Linked DNA regions of Drosophila melanogaster. The protein of the gene in region 1 purifies or fractionates together with the protein of each later gene. This does not show direct contact. Each region holds a gene or a part of one and is shown on either strand. Other genes may lie near its edges. The genes, in order: Rme-8, Slh and koko.

Region 1 (4,890 bases):
CCACCATCGGCGTGGACTTCGCCCTGAAAGTGCTGCAGTGGGACGCCAATACGATAGTGCGCCTCCAGCTGTGGGATATCGCCGGTCAGGAGAGGTTTGGCAACATGACCCGTGTCTACTACAAGGAGGCGGTGGGCGCGTTCATCGTTTTTGATGTGACTCGCAGTGGGACTTTCGATTGCGTGAGCAAGTGGAAGGAAGATCTAGACTCCAAGGTGCAGCTGCCGGACGGCAGTCCCATTCCGTGCATCCTGCTGGCCAATAAAGTAAGTGATTGCCTAAAGGTTAAAGGAGACCGCATAATTTCTATATTATGTGATTAATACGTTGCTCATCCGTTTTCCAGTGCGACCAGGAAAAGCAGGGCATCATAACGCAGCCCGAGAAGATGGATGAGTATGTGAGGGAGAACGGATTTGCCGGTTGGTTTGAGACATCCGCCAAGGAGAATATCAACATCGATGAGGCAGCTCGTGCCCTCGTGAATAAGGTGATAATCGCTGCTAATGCCCAGCCAAAGCCCCGCTAATCTTCTTCCACTCGCCCGACAGATACTCATCAACGATAAGCTGATATCTGCCGATCTGGCCGATGGCGACAAGTTCAACTTGAGCGCGGCCGATGCAACCGGATCGGATGCCAAGAACAAGTGTTCCTGCTGACCTGGGACCGAGGTCCGGCGACTCCTATTCCCATTCCCAGTTTAAGAGCGAGTTTCAACACAGAAACGCCATGTGCCTACGTCCACTCCATGTTCATGTTGTTAGAAGATAGCGATAACTATGCTTAGGGTTTTAACGTAACATTTGTCTAAGACTTAGTGTCATCCGTATCATCCCGTCCGTCTTTATCTTTAACACCCCGTCTGTGGGTCCACAATGTTGCGCCGGCATCGGGATCCGTGTCACTTTGAGAATTTATATGGTGACACATAACATACCTACGCATACGAAACATTATTACTATCACCATCATTGCCCTAGTTGCGAGGATTAGCCGGAGGTAGTGCAGCATCCGTATCATAGCATACTACATTTGTGTAAAATGCGAATCGTCTTATTGTTTTGTTTGTTTTATTTGCCTCTGCTGGCGAGATTGTTTTATCTTGGAATTATTATTCTCGTATGCAAACACACTCTGCCATCATTATTTGTATTTAGATAACAATACGTACGCTTAATGCAATGCGAAATCAGAAATAAAGTTTTTAATGGTAGTTAAGTTCAGACGACGTGTTTTATTGGCTGAATAAATTCTGTGTAAGTGCTTTTGTGATACAATGAAAATGTTATGCTACTAGTATTTGCCTTCATTGAATCACTGGTCTTTGTAAATAAATACGAATAAAAGCTTTGTTTTTACATTTCCTTTTTTAACGGTAAAAAATCGTATCCCCAACCGGCAATGTTTTTCTTTTTTTTTAATATTCAAACTATCGATAGTTATCAACTATGGTATTCCTTATTGTTTAGTGATCACATATTAAACTTAAAAATAATGATATACAGATAAAAGTGTCGTGCGTTCATATTCTACATAAAATTATTAGCAATTATTTAATCGTTATGAAAAGCGAAACGTATAAACTGGTAATTGGTATGGGAAAAATTGGGAAAAAGCTGGAATCAGGTTTAATTGCAATTTGGTTTTATAAAATGTTTTATGGCACAAACAAACATCCTGACTCAAAAGTGAATTAAGCTTGAAACTTAAATACTCCGAGAATACCGTGAATATGCGTTTACCAATTGCTGCTGAACGGGACCACTATCGATAGAACCTTACAAACTATCGAATCGCTGCAAGACTATTGCCATCGATACTTGCACCTCTATTTATTAGTGTTGTGTAGCCGTGTTACTGCTAAATTGTTTATTGCAAAAATTCCGCAAACGAGAGATATTAGGAATAGAAGACAATATAACAATTGGGCAAAATGTGTTAGATGTTTAAGGTAAGCCACCGCCAGGGCTGCAGCTCGGCGGAGCCGTATCCAACGGTCCGCGCTCTGGGGGCCGCAGCATTCCGCACTCGTCACGTTTACTCCCCTTTTCTGGTCTTTGTTGGGGCTCCGTTGGCACTTCTGCTGATAAGTGCCCAAGTCGACTTAATTAATCAGTGCCCTGGAGTCGGGGGCAAGTCAATTGGATATTTGGAAACCGCTGGGAACGTGAACCAGCTGCGCGCCCGAAAGACCAGTCATGAATTGCCGCGGCTCTGATTTGACTCCCGTTCCCACACTCCATATCTCACTCACTTTCAGTTGCTGACTAATACTGGGTGGAAGGTAATCAGTTGGAATCGTCACAAGAAACGATGCTGCCGCCTAAGGAAAACGTCGATCTGGAGTGCTTCCTGGTGACCAAGCACTCCTGGAAGGGCAGGTATAAGCGCATCCTCTCCATCGGCACGGCCGGCATATCCACCTACAATCCGGACAAGCTTGACCTGACTAACAGGTGGTCCTATTCGGACATCGTAGCAGCAGCACCCTCAAAGACCACAAATGTGAGTTTATAAGATCCTACGGAGAGCTCGGAACTAAATAAATTGATCTTTCAGATACCCCATGACTTCGTGATTACCATCAAAAAGGATAAGAAACTAGATACAATCAAGTTATCGTCGGAATATCGGAACGATATCCTAAGCTCTATATTAAAGTACTACAAAGAGTTTGCGGACAAGCCGAAAAATGCTCAGGTTGGTTTTTGAGTCTCGCTTTAAATCCTATACTAATTTGGAAACACTTCTCCAACATTTCATGTGTGATTCAGATGTTTCTAATTAACATTTAAATATGCAATATGAATTCTAATCTGTCAAAATTTTAATTTTGAATACTATCTAAATTTTGTAGCGCTTTAGTGCTTACAAATACCACTGGTCGGGCATCAGTCTTCCCACAGTACTGGAGGTCACGCCCTGTTCTCTGGACCAGCTCGATCCCACCACCAACGACGTGCTGGCCAGCTATATGTACAAGGATATCGAGGGAATAATAGGTAGCTATGCACATTCGACTCGCTTGCATCAATTAATGTGTCTTGTTTTGTCCTCATGTGCCTCAATTACAATTCAATATGATCGCTCCGTGTTTTGTTCTTTTTTTTATTTTTGGTTACTTGCCGCACTCATCTTTCTTCCGCACACGTTTTAAGCAGGCATCTCGGACTATGAGGGAGGAATCGTGATGGCCTACGGCGGATTCAGTCGCCTCCATTTGTTTAAGGCGCTGAATCACCACGAAATCGTGCAGAACATAGCACAGAGATCGGCTCAGTTTCTGGGCATCGAAACCAAAATACTCAAGAGTCAGATCACTCTGGAGCAGTTCGAGAGGCAGCGGTTCGGCAAGTTTAGGTAAGTTCATGTGAAACGCAATAAAGAATTTGTAGAAAAAAAAAGCCATATAATATTTCAGTGGTGACCAGTTTCAAACCTCGTCGACCGAATTCTCGGTTCATAAGATAACGCCCCGCCATCCGGATCCGGTGAAGCGTATACTCTGCCTCACCGAGGTAACGCTGCTGGAGCGGGATCCTCAAACCTACAGCGTCTGCACCCTGCGTCCGCTCACTGATGTGTTTGCCTTAGTTAGAGACAAGGACAATCTTCAGCGCTTCAGCATCGAGTACAAGAATGGAATCGTGCGCAACTACAGCACCAACGACCGCGACTCATTGTTGGCCACTGTTCTGGATGCTGTCCGCTCCAGTGGCAATCAGGATGTGCACGTCCGCATTGGCAACACGCCGCGAGGGAAACGGTATGTGCCATTGAACAGCTCGGTGGACGAGGAGACGGAGGCGAATTTGATGCGCCTGGTTATCAACAATTTTCAAAACCCCTCTAAGCGGTATGAGATCTTGGAGCGCTTTAATGCCAATGTGCCTCACAGTGGCCTCAACTACAGTGTAACTCAGGATGTAGGTTAACCTAATGCTCGGATTCCGGTTCAACCTAACTAATGTTTCGTTTCACAGAGCTTGTTTGCTGAAAACAAAGATAAACTTATCCTGAGTGCCCTGCAAGCGTTGGCTCAAAAGGAGCTGGACAGCCCTACGGCCCAGCTGAGCAACTTGGAGCTGGAGGCTATCTTTCACGCTCTTACTCGTCTTCTCGCTAGCAAAGTTGGATACGCAGCCTTTACGAATCTCCCGGGGTAATATATTCTAGTTTCGTACTAATAGCATTGTTAATGTTTGAATACATTTCAGCTTTCGTGAGATTATCGGTACAAAGGTGGTGGCTGCTTTAAGACGCAAGGATTTGGCTGTGACATACTCCGCCATTGACATGATTAACTCGCTAATGCATTCTGTGAATTCTGACCATGATTTAAAACAGGAGCAACTTAACAAGTCATCCATTCTGTCATCAAAATCGTTTCTGGAAACTTTGCTCAACATGTGGACAACCCATGTGGTAATGTAACCATTCTAGAGTGCGGTCAATTCGTTTTGTAACTATTTATGATTTCAGAGCCATGGCAGTGGTGCTCTGGTACTCTCAGCCATGCTGGACTTCATGACCTTTGCCTTGTGTGTGCCTTACAGCGAGACCACTGACGGCAAGCAGTTCGATACTCTGCTGGAGCTGGTTGCCGATCGTGGACGCTATTTGTACAAACTGTTCCAGCATCCCTCGCTGGCGATCGTGAAGGGAGCTGGATTGGTGCTGCGGGCCATTATTGAAGAAGGCGAGCTGCAAGTGGCTCAGCAAATGCAAGCATTGGCTTTGGATGAGGCTGCGCTGTGCCGCCACTTACTGGTGGCACTGTATACGCCCTCCAATGATCCCACACAGACCACGCAACGTCAGTTGTCGCGGCATTTGATCGGGCTGTGGCTAACAGATAGTGAGGAGGCCATGGAACTCTTTAAACGC
Region 2 (7,067 bases), on another chromosome or scaffold:
CTGGGTTTTCCGTGTGTTTGCACAAGGGCGCATGTAAACAAAGAATAGCCGAAAGAAGTGAGAAGAGAAGAGGAAGTATGGAGGAGCGAAGGAAGAGAGCCATCAGGACATTTTGGGGCCAGGGACAGAGCGCAGAGAACAATGAAGGATGTCACATGTAAACAAAGATGTACGAAAATACGCTGTGTGCAAGTGAAATAGGGAAAGAGAGAAAGAGAGAGGCTGCCTTCATTTCAAGCCCGGTGCTTTTTCGGCCAGCTAATCTAAAATTTATGGAAAAGCCGAAAGCAAAGTGTCAATATTGAGGCAGTCAAACAAACCCAACTAATATTAAAGTGGAAAAACGAAACGACAGGCAAGTGAAAGTTTCAATACTGGCATTGAACTGCACATATGTATATGTCGCATTACGGATGTATTCTGACCACTGTACGTGTCTGTCATATTATTACCATGGTTTGACCACTGTGCTTGCAAGACGCAGCTGCGCAATGAGTTCGGTATATTGAGAGGTCATTCTTAGAATTTGACTATCACGAAGAATATGACTGGCGTCAAAGTACCGTTACGAGTGAGGCGACGGCGTTGTCGCGCTGTCGCCTAGTTGGACTACACTAGCGTGTGTAAAGGATAGATCGATGCGTAGAAAATACGATCAGTTGCATACAGACGATCGCGCACGCCGGTTGGAATTCGCTTCACTCAACATGGGAGATCAGGCACAAGAAAATGTCAACGCTGCGACATATGCATGTACATACATATGTACATAATGGCGTTGCAAGCATATAGAATAGAGCTTTGTTTTATGGTCATCAGGCATCGATGGATTATCTGGCCTACTTAACGGTATACTAATTAGATATCGGCGAAGTACAAGCTCACAGAACATGTTTCCATTCGGAGAATCCTGTATTTTGCATAAATCAATAGGGGACATGATTTGTTGTGCACATGTGTGCTGCACGAATCAACGTGGGCTGTGTATGCGTGTGTGCAATCCTTTACATTTGCAACTTATTGGATGAACTGCGTGTTCTTAAGAACGAACTAAGCATTGTTTATGAAATACCGAATCCTTGCTAATTCTAAAAGCAATATATTGGCGTATTTTACAATATGACTAGGCAAATTTTAAATTTCAGATACATATACTTGTCATATTCTACTGTCATAGCTGTAATAACTGTCACTGAATTACTATCTTTTTAATATTTAATTTGTTGTTTTCGCAGATTTGTTTATTTGTCTTGAGCACCTCTCTTTCGCTCTCTCATTCTCCCGCGTTTTAAATTTGTTTTGTTTTGGCGCGCAAATTTTCGAAATGAGATGTTCGAAAATCAGATGGGCAGCGCTGCCAGCGTCGCTGTTTGTCGTTGTTGCGTTTTGCGTTGTTGGGATTTAAGTGTTTTAAACCATTTTTTTTTGCGATTTCGCACCTGATTTTGGACGTTAATGAGCAGCTGGGAGTGGGCGAATGCGTCCGCGTTCATCACTAAGTTGCACAGCAGGAACCACAGAAACGCGCGACTGTGCTTGAAAAAGTGATTTTTACTGACGACGCGACCGCAGCAATTGCCGTGCGCTGGTGTTCGAGTGCGGCTGAGTGCCTTAAGATGCGCCATTCGCCAGCGGACCTGCGCCTGCCTTGCCGCATTTGCGGCAGTTTCGATGCTCTGGTGTGGGTGCTCCTCCTTTAAGATCATTGCGATCCGACAACTTTTAAATAAAATCACAAGAAAGCACAACGAACCACTCGCGTCGACGAACGAAAAATAACTGGCAGAAAATGGTGAAACTGACTGAAACGTGACTTTTCGAAATCAGCTGACAGGTGTGACCGTGCGGTAATCCCAAAGGGTGCTGCCAACCTTCTCGAACAGGAGCCTACGAATTTCGATTGTAGAAAATATACCAACCCAATATAGCTGCATTACACTGGCACACATATCTATATCTATAGAATAAATAGACTACATTCATTTTCATTTAGTATTTAAATATTCATATTGGAATTTCCACTGCATACGTTCACACCAGCCGCACAGCTGATGCCTGTACTATGCACTAAAATTTCCCAAAACGCGTTGCCTCGCCGTCGCTTGTGACGTGTTGTTTTTTTGTAAAATATGTTTTTCAGCTGCTAAAACGGACATAGATTGTTGAAAATCCACTGAAACTAACTCAGAAGGACGGGCTAAAGACGGACTATATAATGCTGACCCTGCGGGAGCGCCAAATCAGTGAGAAACTATGAAAACAATGCCCCCATTGAAGGGAAAACCTAATTAATGGATTTTCATATTAATCATTGCAGATGCCATTAAGCAGATGCTTAATTTGAACTCGCAGCAGCCGAAAGCCCTAGCTGCCGAGCCCGTGTGGAAGATCCTTATCTACGATCGCGTTGGCCAGGACATCATATCGCCCATTATTTCCATCAAGGAGCTGCGCGAGTTGGGCGTGACGCTGCATGTGTAAGTTGTGCGAGATCCTCCAGGAATCCAGAAATTATAGCTTTGGTTAACCTCCAGGCAACTGCACTCGGATCGCGACTCCATTCCGGATGTGCCGGCTATATACTTCTGCCTGCCCACCGACGAGAATTTGGACAGGATTCAGCAGGACTTCTCGAGCGGACTGTACGACGTGTACCACCTGAACTTCCTAGCTCCCATAACGCGCAGCAAAATCGAGAATCTGGCCGCCGCAGCCCTGCATGCCGGCTGCGTGGCCAACATCCATCGCGTTTACGACCAGTATGTGAACTTCATCAGTCTGGAGGATGACTTCTTCATCCTAAAGCACCAGCAGAGCGATCAGCTTTCATACTACGCCATCAACCGGGCCAACACCCGCGATGAAGAGATGGAGGCCCTGATGGACTCCATTGTAGACTCGCTCTTCGCCCTGTTTGTGACCCTGGGCAATGTGCCCATCATCCGCTGTCCGCGGAACAGTGCCGCTGAAATGGTGGCACGCAAGCTGGAGAAGAAGCTGCGCGAGAACCTTTGGGATGCGCGTGCCAATTTGTTCCACATGGATGCCACGCAAGCCGGCGGCGGAGTGTTCAGCTTTCAGAGACCTGTGCTCCTGCTGCTGGACAGGAACATGGATTTAGCCACGCCGCTCCATCACACCTGGTCGTATCAGGCGCTTGTGCACGATGTACTGGACTTGGGACTGAATCTTGTCTACGTGGAGGACGAGACGGCTAGTGCGGGCAAGTAAAATTACTTTTATCAAGGCGCTGAATAACTGAGACTCACCAACTACGTTTTCCTATTCTTTAGGAGCCCGCAAAAAACCCAAGGCCTGTGACTTGGACCGCAACGACCGCTTCTGGATGACGCACAAGGGCAGTCCATTTCCCACGGTGGCCGAAGCCATCCAGGAGGAGCTGGAATCCTATCGGAACTCCGAGGAGGAGATCAAGCGCTTGAAGACATCGATGGGTATCGAGGGCGAGTCGGACATTGCATTCTCTTTGGTCAATGACACAACGGCCAGGCTCACCAATGCCGTCAATTCGCTGCCCCAACTGATGGAGAAGAAGCGACTGATCGACATGCACACCAAGATCGCCACTGCAATCCTGAACTTCATTAAGGCTCGACGACTGGATTCGTTTTTTGAGATCGAGGAGAAGGTCATGTCGAAGCAGACACTGGACAGACCGCTGCTGGACCTACTGCGAGATGGAGAGTTTGGTCAGGCGGAGGACAAGCTGCGCCTGTATATCATCTACTTTATCTGCGCCCAGCAGTTACCCGAATCGGAGCAGGAGCGGCTCAAGGAGGCGCTGCAGGCTGCCGGTTGTGACCTAACTGCCCTTGCGTACGTGCAACGATGGAAGGGAATCATGAACCGCTCGCCGAGCATTAGCCAAGCCACACAGTACGAGGGTGGCGGCACCAAGACTGTGTCCATGTTCACTAAACTCGTCTCACAGGGCAGCTCCTTCGTGATGGAGGGCGTCAAGAATCTGGTGGTCAAGCGACATGTGAGTTTCTCTTTCCAAATTCAAATTCAAGTTCTATATCAAAATTGTTTGCAGAATCTTCCGGTGACCAAGATCACCGAGCAGGTGATGGAGTGCCGCAGCAATGCGGAGACGGATGACTACCTTTATCTGGATCCAAAGCTGCTCAAAGGTGGCGAGGTCCTGCCCAAAAATCGTGCTCCATTCCAGGACGCCGTGGTGTTCATGGTCGGCGGAGGCAACTACATCGAGTACCAGAACCTGGTGGACTTCATCAAACAGAAGCAAACGTCCAATGTGCAACGGCGCATCATTTATGGCGCTTCCACGCTGACCAACGCGAGGCAGTTCCTCAAGGAGCTCTCCGCCCTGGGCGGCGAGATCCAGTCGCCGACGGCGACGAGTTAGGAGCGGCTGCTCCGATTCCATTGCTGCTGAGCGGAGTGGACCGGGTTTTGGTTGCATGTGCATGGGTGTCTGTGTGGCTTCTTTCGTTTACTTTAAGCATATCCAAAAATAAATTAAATGCCAGGCAAAAAAGAGAAGCAAGCGAACGCAACGGCAGAGCCAGAGCTCAGCACTCGGCAATTACTCCAACCTGACGCTTAATCCCCGAAGGACAACAAGCAAAAACATGCGTAGCCTCGTGTACAACAAGCCCAGGGAGCTGGTGCCAGAGCTGCTGGAATGGGAGCTTGGCGGCGGGCAGGGGTACTCGCATTCTAGGCACCCATTAACACCAACTTGGCAACGCTTTGATGGACAGCTGACAGACAACCAGTCAACGGCTGAGGCGATGATGGCCCAGCCATCCCGATGCCCGCTGCCTTCGGCGGCGGTGCCACAATTATGGGGCGACAACTATGCGCGGCACTTGGGGACAGGCGCAGAAGCTGGCAGGGACAGCACCCAGCAATTAGCACTATCCCTGGCCAACTATGAATGGATCGAGGCGAGGCAAGTCGCTGTCGATGGCATAGCCAGCGCACTGGAGCACTAGGCGCATTTTTTCGAAGCACTGCAGCTCTGATTGAATGTCGCTTCCTTGGGAGACGGGCAGGCAGCCTGGCAGCCAGGCAGGCCAAGTCCATCAAAGAAGAGCGTTAAATTATCCCTGAAAGCCCATCTTTGGTTTGAATTGGTGTTGCAAGAAAAGATGATGTAAATGAAAATTCTAACAAGTAGGAAAAAGAAGTGGCAGGAAAAGGAATGTTTTAAGAACCTTATTAACCGATACCAAATTATAGAAATCAATTGTAAAAACAACGATAGAGAATGTTTATAGAATTGATTCTACAGATTGGCCAATGTAGTAAAGTAATAAAATCTCTAAGATTTTCCTCAATTTAATGGCATTTGACCAGCGAAATGCTGAAATTTTCCCCATGAAATGAAAAAGCTCGAACTGAAAATATTTCCAATGACATTCAGGCCACTGTAGGAAGTTTCCCGAGATAAGCGGCAAACAAATACCACAAAAAATGAGTAAAATATGGTGGAGAAAAAAGCGATCCGTGGGCTAATTAACACTTTTGGTAAATCAGAATTGATGGCCCTGATGAAAGGCCGAAGAAGAGATGATGACGATGACGATGATTATTCATGGAGCGTTGAGTTTAAATATTGGTTTTGGTTGGGCAGCCGGGCAGGGGTTGGGTTACTATCCAGACTACCCGTGGCCACAATTTAAATGTTAACATAAACAAGAGCAATTTAACAAAAGCCCAAGACCCAAAAAAAAATCCAAGAGACTCGAAAAAAAAAATAAATAAATAAAAGTACAGGGGAAACGAAAAGTCGAACTCCCAGCCAGAAACTGGTAACCCAAAGTGATTTCACGGGTGGTCCGAAAAGATGCGGCTCAAACAAATCATAAGGAAAAAATGAGAGGGAAAAACGACTACAGAAACTAACAACGAGAACGCAACATGAAAGAAATTCTTAACTTGCCACATGCATGAATCGATTATGTGGTAAATGCAACTGTCGCTGTATGCGTGAGTATCTGTGTGGTGTGGATCTCGTAGCCAGCGCAGCTCCTCCGCCGTCGAGACCCAAAAATCGAGAAAAAAAATAAAATGGTCAGGCAGCCGTTTCCCACATTCCTGCTGTGAATCATAATGGCTGCCGCTGTCGTCGTCTTGCTGGATGATTCTGCCGGATCCGACCGACCCGCCCGATCCGCTCGCTCAGCGCCCCAGCCGCCCAATCTCCGCCAGCACACCGACACACACTCGCCGACATCCCATACATATATCATAATCTTAACAACTCTTAACAAGGCAGAACAAATTCCAAAATTCGAGGAGCCCGACTCGAACAGCCAGTCAGGCAGTCGGACGATCCCACAAAATGAAGTGCCAGCCAGACAGAGAAGGCGATCTTCAGACACAGCTTCAGCTTTAGCTTTGGGTTGGGATCTTTAGACCCAATGAATGGACTCGAAGTGGAGAGTCTGCTGAGATCTGGTCAGATATGTGGGTTCATATGGGAGGGCATAACCCTTGTGGTTTTGATGGTTTTTATAAGCGCAATATAAGTTTTTCCCACTCTTATTAAACATCAATGTTTGATATTGTACACAAGCAAAAAATAAATATATATACATATGATCCAAAAAAATAAATATAAATAAATGTATTTGCAACCTATGAACTGTTTTGGATATGCTTTAGTAGTATATACATACATCTATAGTTTACTTCAGCTGGAACTCCCTAACACATGTCCATCAACTTTACATTCTAATTTTGTTTGATCTGCGCCAGACCTGTGGACTCCCACAGTTGGACCCTTGTGTTATCCTTGTCAGCATTTTGTTGGAATATCCCATTGTTGTTCCCAGCCGGGATGGTGCTACCACAAACATTTTCTGGGCATCGCCGCCCTCGGTGGTCCGCTTTTGGAGATCGGGAGCGGCATGTTAATTAATCAGCCAAATAATAATACAGCACCCATCGGCGGAGAAGAAACGAGCCGAAGCGCAGAGGTAGAGGTTCCAAATATTTGCCGGCAATAAAAGAGCAGCGCGGATGGATGGATCATCCTGCGAGGAGTAGGAGTTGGAGAGCAGGAGGAGGAGAAT
Region 3 (4,196 bases), on another chromosome or scaffold:
AGTGGAGACCGCCAAACGATTGACCGAGGAATCCGTTCGAATGGTGGCCAAGGCGGATCGCATGTTGCGCAGCTCCCAGACCTTGATTGTACGATCATCTGATCCGGACACCACCTTGTCGTCGCGTGCGAACACACTGGACGTAACCGTTTCCGTGTGCCCTTGGAAGACGGAGACCGCTGGGATTGCCTCTCGGAAGTCCCATAGACGGAACGTAGTGTCCCTGGAAGCGGTGACCACCAGGCGCTGGGTGGGATGTGCCGACACGTGGGTGAGCTCGTGGTCGTGCCCAGTGAGCGGCTGCAGTGGCAGGCCAGTCTCCACGTCCCACAGGATGGCAGTCCGATCCCAGCTGCCCGTGATGATTTGATCCATCGAAGAGAGCCAATCGGCGGCCACCACGACTGAAAGATGACCGCCGGGGCCTGTGAACTCGCAGAGCGGAGTGCGTAAGGTGTCCACACGATCGCGATCTTCCACCTGCTCATCACTGTCGTCCAGTTCCTCCTCTGAAGAATGGCCCTTCCTGAAAATCATGCAACGATTATTGAACTACTATAAAATATATTGCAAAGTTACTCACTTGGGCACTTCCCAGTTGACGGCCGCCTGCCAGATGTGGGCAGTACCATCCCCGCTGCCGGTGAGCACAAGATCTCGCTGCTGATGGAACTTGATGGAGTTTACGGAGCCGGCGTGCCCTTGGTACTGCAAAAGGCACCTGGCGCTCTCCACGCCCCAGATGCAGGCCGTATGATCGGCGGAGGCGGTGCCAATGATGGGTTGTCCCGCCTTGGCGGCAACCTGCCAGATGCCATCCTTGTGGCCGCCGAATTCTCGGACCACCGTGCTGACCACTGTGGGCGCCTTAAAGCTGGACACAATGCGGCTGGTTTGGGCCTTGATCTTGTTGCTGGCCTTGGCTTTGCTGCCGCCGGTAGCGCTGCTTAGTTTGGCCTTCAAGCTCTTGTGTGTACTGGATGCTGCAGCCAGGAAGCTGCCCGCCACCTCATCCGTCTGGGTTGCAGGCGTGGCCAAAGCTGCGGATGAGGCCTGAGTGCTCATTGAACCTCCTGCTGCGGATCTGGCATCGGGTGGAATCAATGACTCCTTGGTGGTGGTGGCTATGTCTAGCTTCTCCTGCACTATAACAGAGAATAGGCTTTAATCATGCGTGCACTATACAAAATTTGACATATGTAAGCAATAAATATTAAAGTTTATGAACGAGACCTTAAGGAGTTGTGGATTATATAGCTACTTACGGGCCTGGTTCTCCAGATACAGCTGCTCGAACTCCCGCTCGATCTGGGCGAAGAGGACGTGCAGGCGTGCACGGAATGGTGCATCTTCCGGTACGGCGGCCACGTCCTCCGTCAAACTGGTGAGGCGCACAGCCCGTGTCTTGCTAGCCTTCATGCTTTTCTTTTCGCCTCTTTGTTGTGTATCTCGCAAGTGATTTTCTGAGCCGAGCTGGTCGGCGATATCCGTTTCCTGGTGGGCAGAGCGCCCGGGGGAATCCAATTAGTGTTCAGGGGTTGCAGACTCGCGCTCTATTGATCCATCTTCCGCTGCTGGCGATGCATTTGCCTCTTTGGCTGACTGGGGAACTGCTGTTGCACTTGGTTTTCGCAATGATAATATACTTATTGCAGGTGTTTTTGTGCGCGGGGGGAGCGGGCGGAACAGCTGGTGTGTGTATCGAGTGTTATCGATGTGCGATTATCGCACAGTCGGACTGTGGCACACTGAGAGCAAATTGAACAAATTAAAATAAAATAATTTTGAAATTGCAGTTTACATATTAAATATATTTATATCATAAAAACGAAAAATCCTGTAAAAATTAACTGAAAATTCATTATATGTTATGAATTAGTTTAGAAAAATTTTCAACAAAAACACATCTATAAAAATGTACAATTAACAAAGTTTTTTTTTTAGTGCACTTTGGTTTGAGTACTAGTGTTGAGAAACAATTAGTTAATTTTGCTGACTTTCAAATCTGACACGTGAAGGTAAATAAATTCAAATAGAAATGTAACTATGGATCAGCGCTTTCCTGTAATTATTTATTAGGGTTGATTATCTTGTATAACCCTTTGAAACGGAAGCATTATCCTTAATCAACACTGTGTACTTGAACAGCTGTTTGGCCCGTAGTTGTAGGTACTATTTTTGAAAACACCATTGGGAGTTCCCACAAGACAAACAAATCCGTGCACCGTTGTATTGGATTCCAATCGAACAGCTGACATACCTTCGGGCCCGTTAGTTTTCCCGATCGCCCTGCATATGATACCATATCTCCCATTACAGCGCTGCAGCCCAATCAAACCGGTTTGTCGCCTTTCGACTTTTCGGTGGTCTCAGTTCACATCCATTTCCCCAACCAGTCCAATTGCTTTTATCTTGCTCCTCGAGTGTTAACGAAATTGCTTAAATCCACCCACATTCATCCTTTCATTCAGTTCGGCCTGGGAGTAGCAGCATGAAAAACGTTTTGGATGTCATGTCGATGCAGCAGCACGTGGAGTTGAACAAGGCGCAGACCATGAAGCCCATCGACTATCGGTAAGTTGAATGATCCAATCTAAAGATACCACCAATATATACATATCTGTGCCATCTGTGCCGCAGCAAAATGAACAAACCCGGCGTGGTGCCGATGTACATCTTTGAGTGCGCTGCCAAGTTGAAAATGAAACCGCTGACGGCGGCCTGTGCGGCCATAGTGTTCCATCGCTTCTTCCGCGAGGTCAAGGCCAGCGACTACGATGAGTTCGTGAGTAATATATGCCCCCAAAACGACCCCATCTCATGAGAAACTTTCTGGAATCCACAGCTCATTGCCGCGGGCTCGCTGTACTTGGCTGGCAAAATTAAGGAAGACGAAAGTGTCAAGATACGCGATGTCATCAACGTGGCATACTGCACCCTTAACCGGGGCAATGATCCAGTCGACCTGAACGATGAGTACTGGTCGATGCGGGATGCCATTGTCCAGGCTGAGCTGCTCATCACGCGCACCCTGTGCTTCGATCTCAACATAGATCTGGCCCACAAGTACTTACTCCACTACATGAAGACCCTACAAGACTGGGTGGGCACTGAGGTGTGGAACTCGGTGCCCATTGCCAAGGCAGCCGCCTCGTATCTGCAAGACTTTCACCACAGCGCCAATATCCTCAAGTACAAGCCCACCCATGTGGCCATTGGGTGCCTGTCGCTGGCCCTCCAGACCTACGGCATCCAGGTGCCGCTAACCGACGAGTCCGACGAATCCGCCATGTGGTACAAGCCCTTGGTCAAGGACTTCACCCGAGAGAACCAGTGGGAGATCATCGAGAACGTGATCGAGGTCTACAAGAACGAGGGCTTCCTGAATGCCACCTAATCGCTGAGAGAGACTGCCAAAACCATTCCTTCTGCCATCTGAACTTATTTATTTTCCCCTCGCCACCTCATAAACCAATCTCAGATACTACTAGACGTACATATGCTCAAATGTCCAATGCATTTACATCATGCCCTTGCCAAAACAAATAAATTGACCGGTAATGAAATGCTTATGTGATCGACGGGCGAAAGTACATTTACCTATCAGCGAAGACGATAGATCTAAAGTTTACAACTTATTTATACACTGATTCAATAAACAATTGTTCTGTGAAAAATGATATTGTTAATGGGTCTTTGGAGTTGTGAAATGCTTTAAGATTCTGAGGAAAAGCAAAAAGGTGTTTGGCGCTTTTATTTCAATCAAATTCATTATACTTTTAAGCTGTTAAAAGTTTTACAAAAAAATATTACACTTTATCAAACAAATTTAAATAAATCGCTCTGTATTTGATTAAATTCCGGGATGGGTGGCAACCCTTAGCCCCAGCCCAGCAGTGTTGACTAACGCAGGCATGTACAAAAACAATGCTAGTTCGTAAACAAAACATATTTTTTATACATTACTTGGCCAGAGCGAAAAAACAAGGACAATATGCGTAAGACGTGGGTGAAGCGAGAGAATATATACTTCAAGCCCTTCTACAAGCAGAAGTCGAAGATGTTCCTGCTGCTGATCTTCCTGGTCGGAATTTCGTTCATCGCGTATCAGGTGAGAGTCTCGCAAGGATTTTCCTGTGCACGGTGTTTAATGTGTAAACAATAACGATAGGCCTTCTCGCTGAACCAGCTGCCCG

The links.
Region 2: the proteins of Rme-8 (region 1) and Slh purify together in Drosophila melanogaster (affinity purification with mass spectrometry, with the first as the bait; one large-scale study listed by BioGRID). This does not show direct contact.
Region 3: the proteins of Rme-8 (region 1) and koko purify together in Drosophila melanogaster (affinity purification with mass spectrometry, with the first as the bait; one large-scale study listed by BioGRID). This does not show direct contact.

What each region holds. Positions count from the first base shown.
Region 1 is NT_033778.4:9,174,206-9,179,095, reverse strand, and holds the start of Rme-8 (receptor mediated endocytosis 8), read left to right. Parts: upstream 1-1,834; 5' UTR 1,835-1,954; intron 1,955-2,263; 5' UTR 2,264-2,316; coding exon 2,317-2,508; intron 2,509-2,562; coding exon 2,563-2,703; intron 2,704-2,860; coding exon 2,861-3,005; intron 3,006-3,161; coding exon 3,162-3,363; intron 3,364-3,424; coding exon 3,425-3,929; intron 3,930-3,986; coding exon 3,987-4,165; intron 4,166-4,220; coding exon 4,221-4,428; intron 4,429-4,485; coding exon 4,486-4,890. Other genes in the region: Rab32, read left to right, coding at 1-266, 347-490, 552-662.
Region 2 is NT_033779.5:2,487,669-2,494,735, reverse strand, and holds Slh (SLY-1 homologous), read left to right. Parts: upstream 1-2,064; 5' UTR 2,065-2,215; coding exon 2,216-2,243; intron 2,244-2,317; coding exon 2,318-2,477; intron 2,478-2,534; coding exon 2,535-3,223; intron 3,224-3,293; coding exon 3,294-4,003; intron 4,004-4,057; coding exon 4,058-4,390; 3' UTR 4,391-6,539; downstream 6,540-7,067. Other genes in the region: oaf (out at first), read right to left, coding at 1,440-1,706. UniProt on the Drosophila melanogaster protein: Non-vital for development.
Region 3 is NT_033777.3:18,401,049-18,405,244, forward strand, and holds koko (kokopelli), read left to right. Parts: upstream 1-1,977; 5' UTR 1,978-2,018; intron 2,019-2,174; exon of another isoform or gene 2,175-2,471; 5' UTR 2,472-2,491; coding exon 2,492-2,574; intron 2,575-2,640; coding exon 2,641-2,785; intron 2,786-2,845; coding exon 2,846-3,397; 3' UTR 3,398-3,678; downstream 3,679-4,196. Other genes in the region: Wdr37 (WD repeat domain 37), read right to left, coding at 1-526, 584-1,145, 1,266-1,419; CG7685 (uncharacterized protein), read left to right, coding at 3,995-4,111, 4,172-4,196.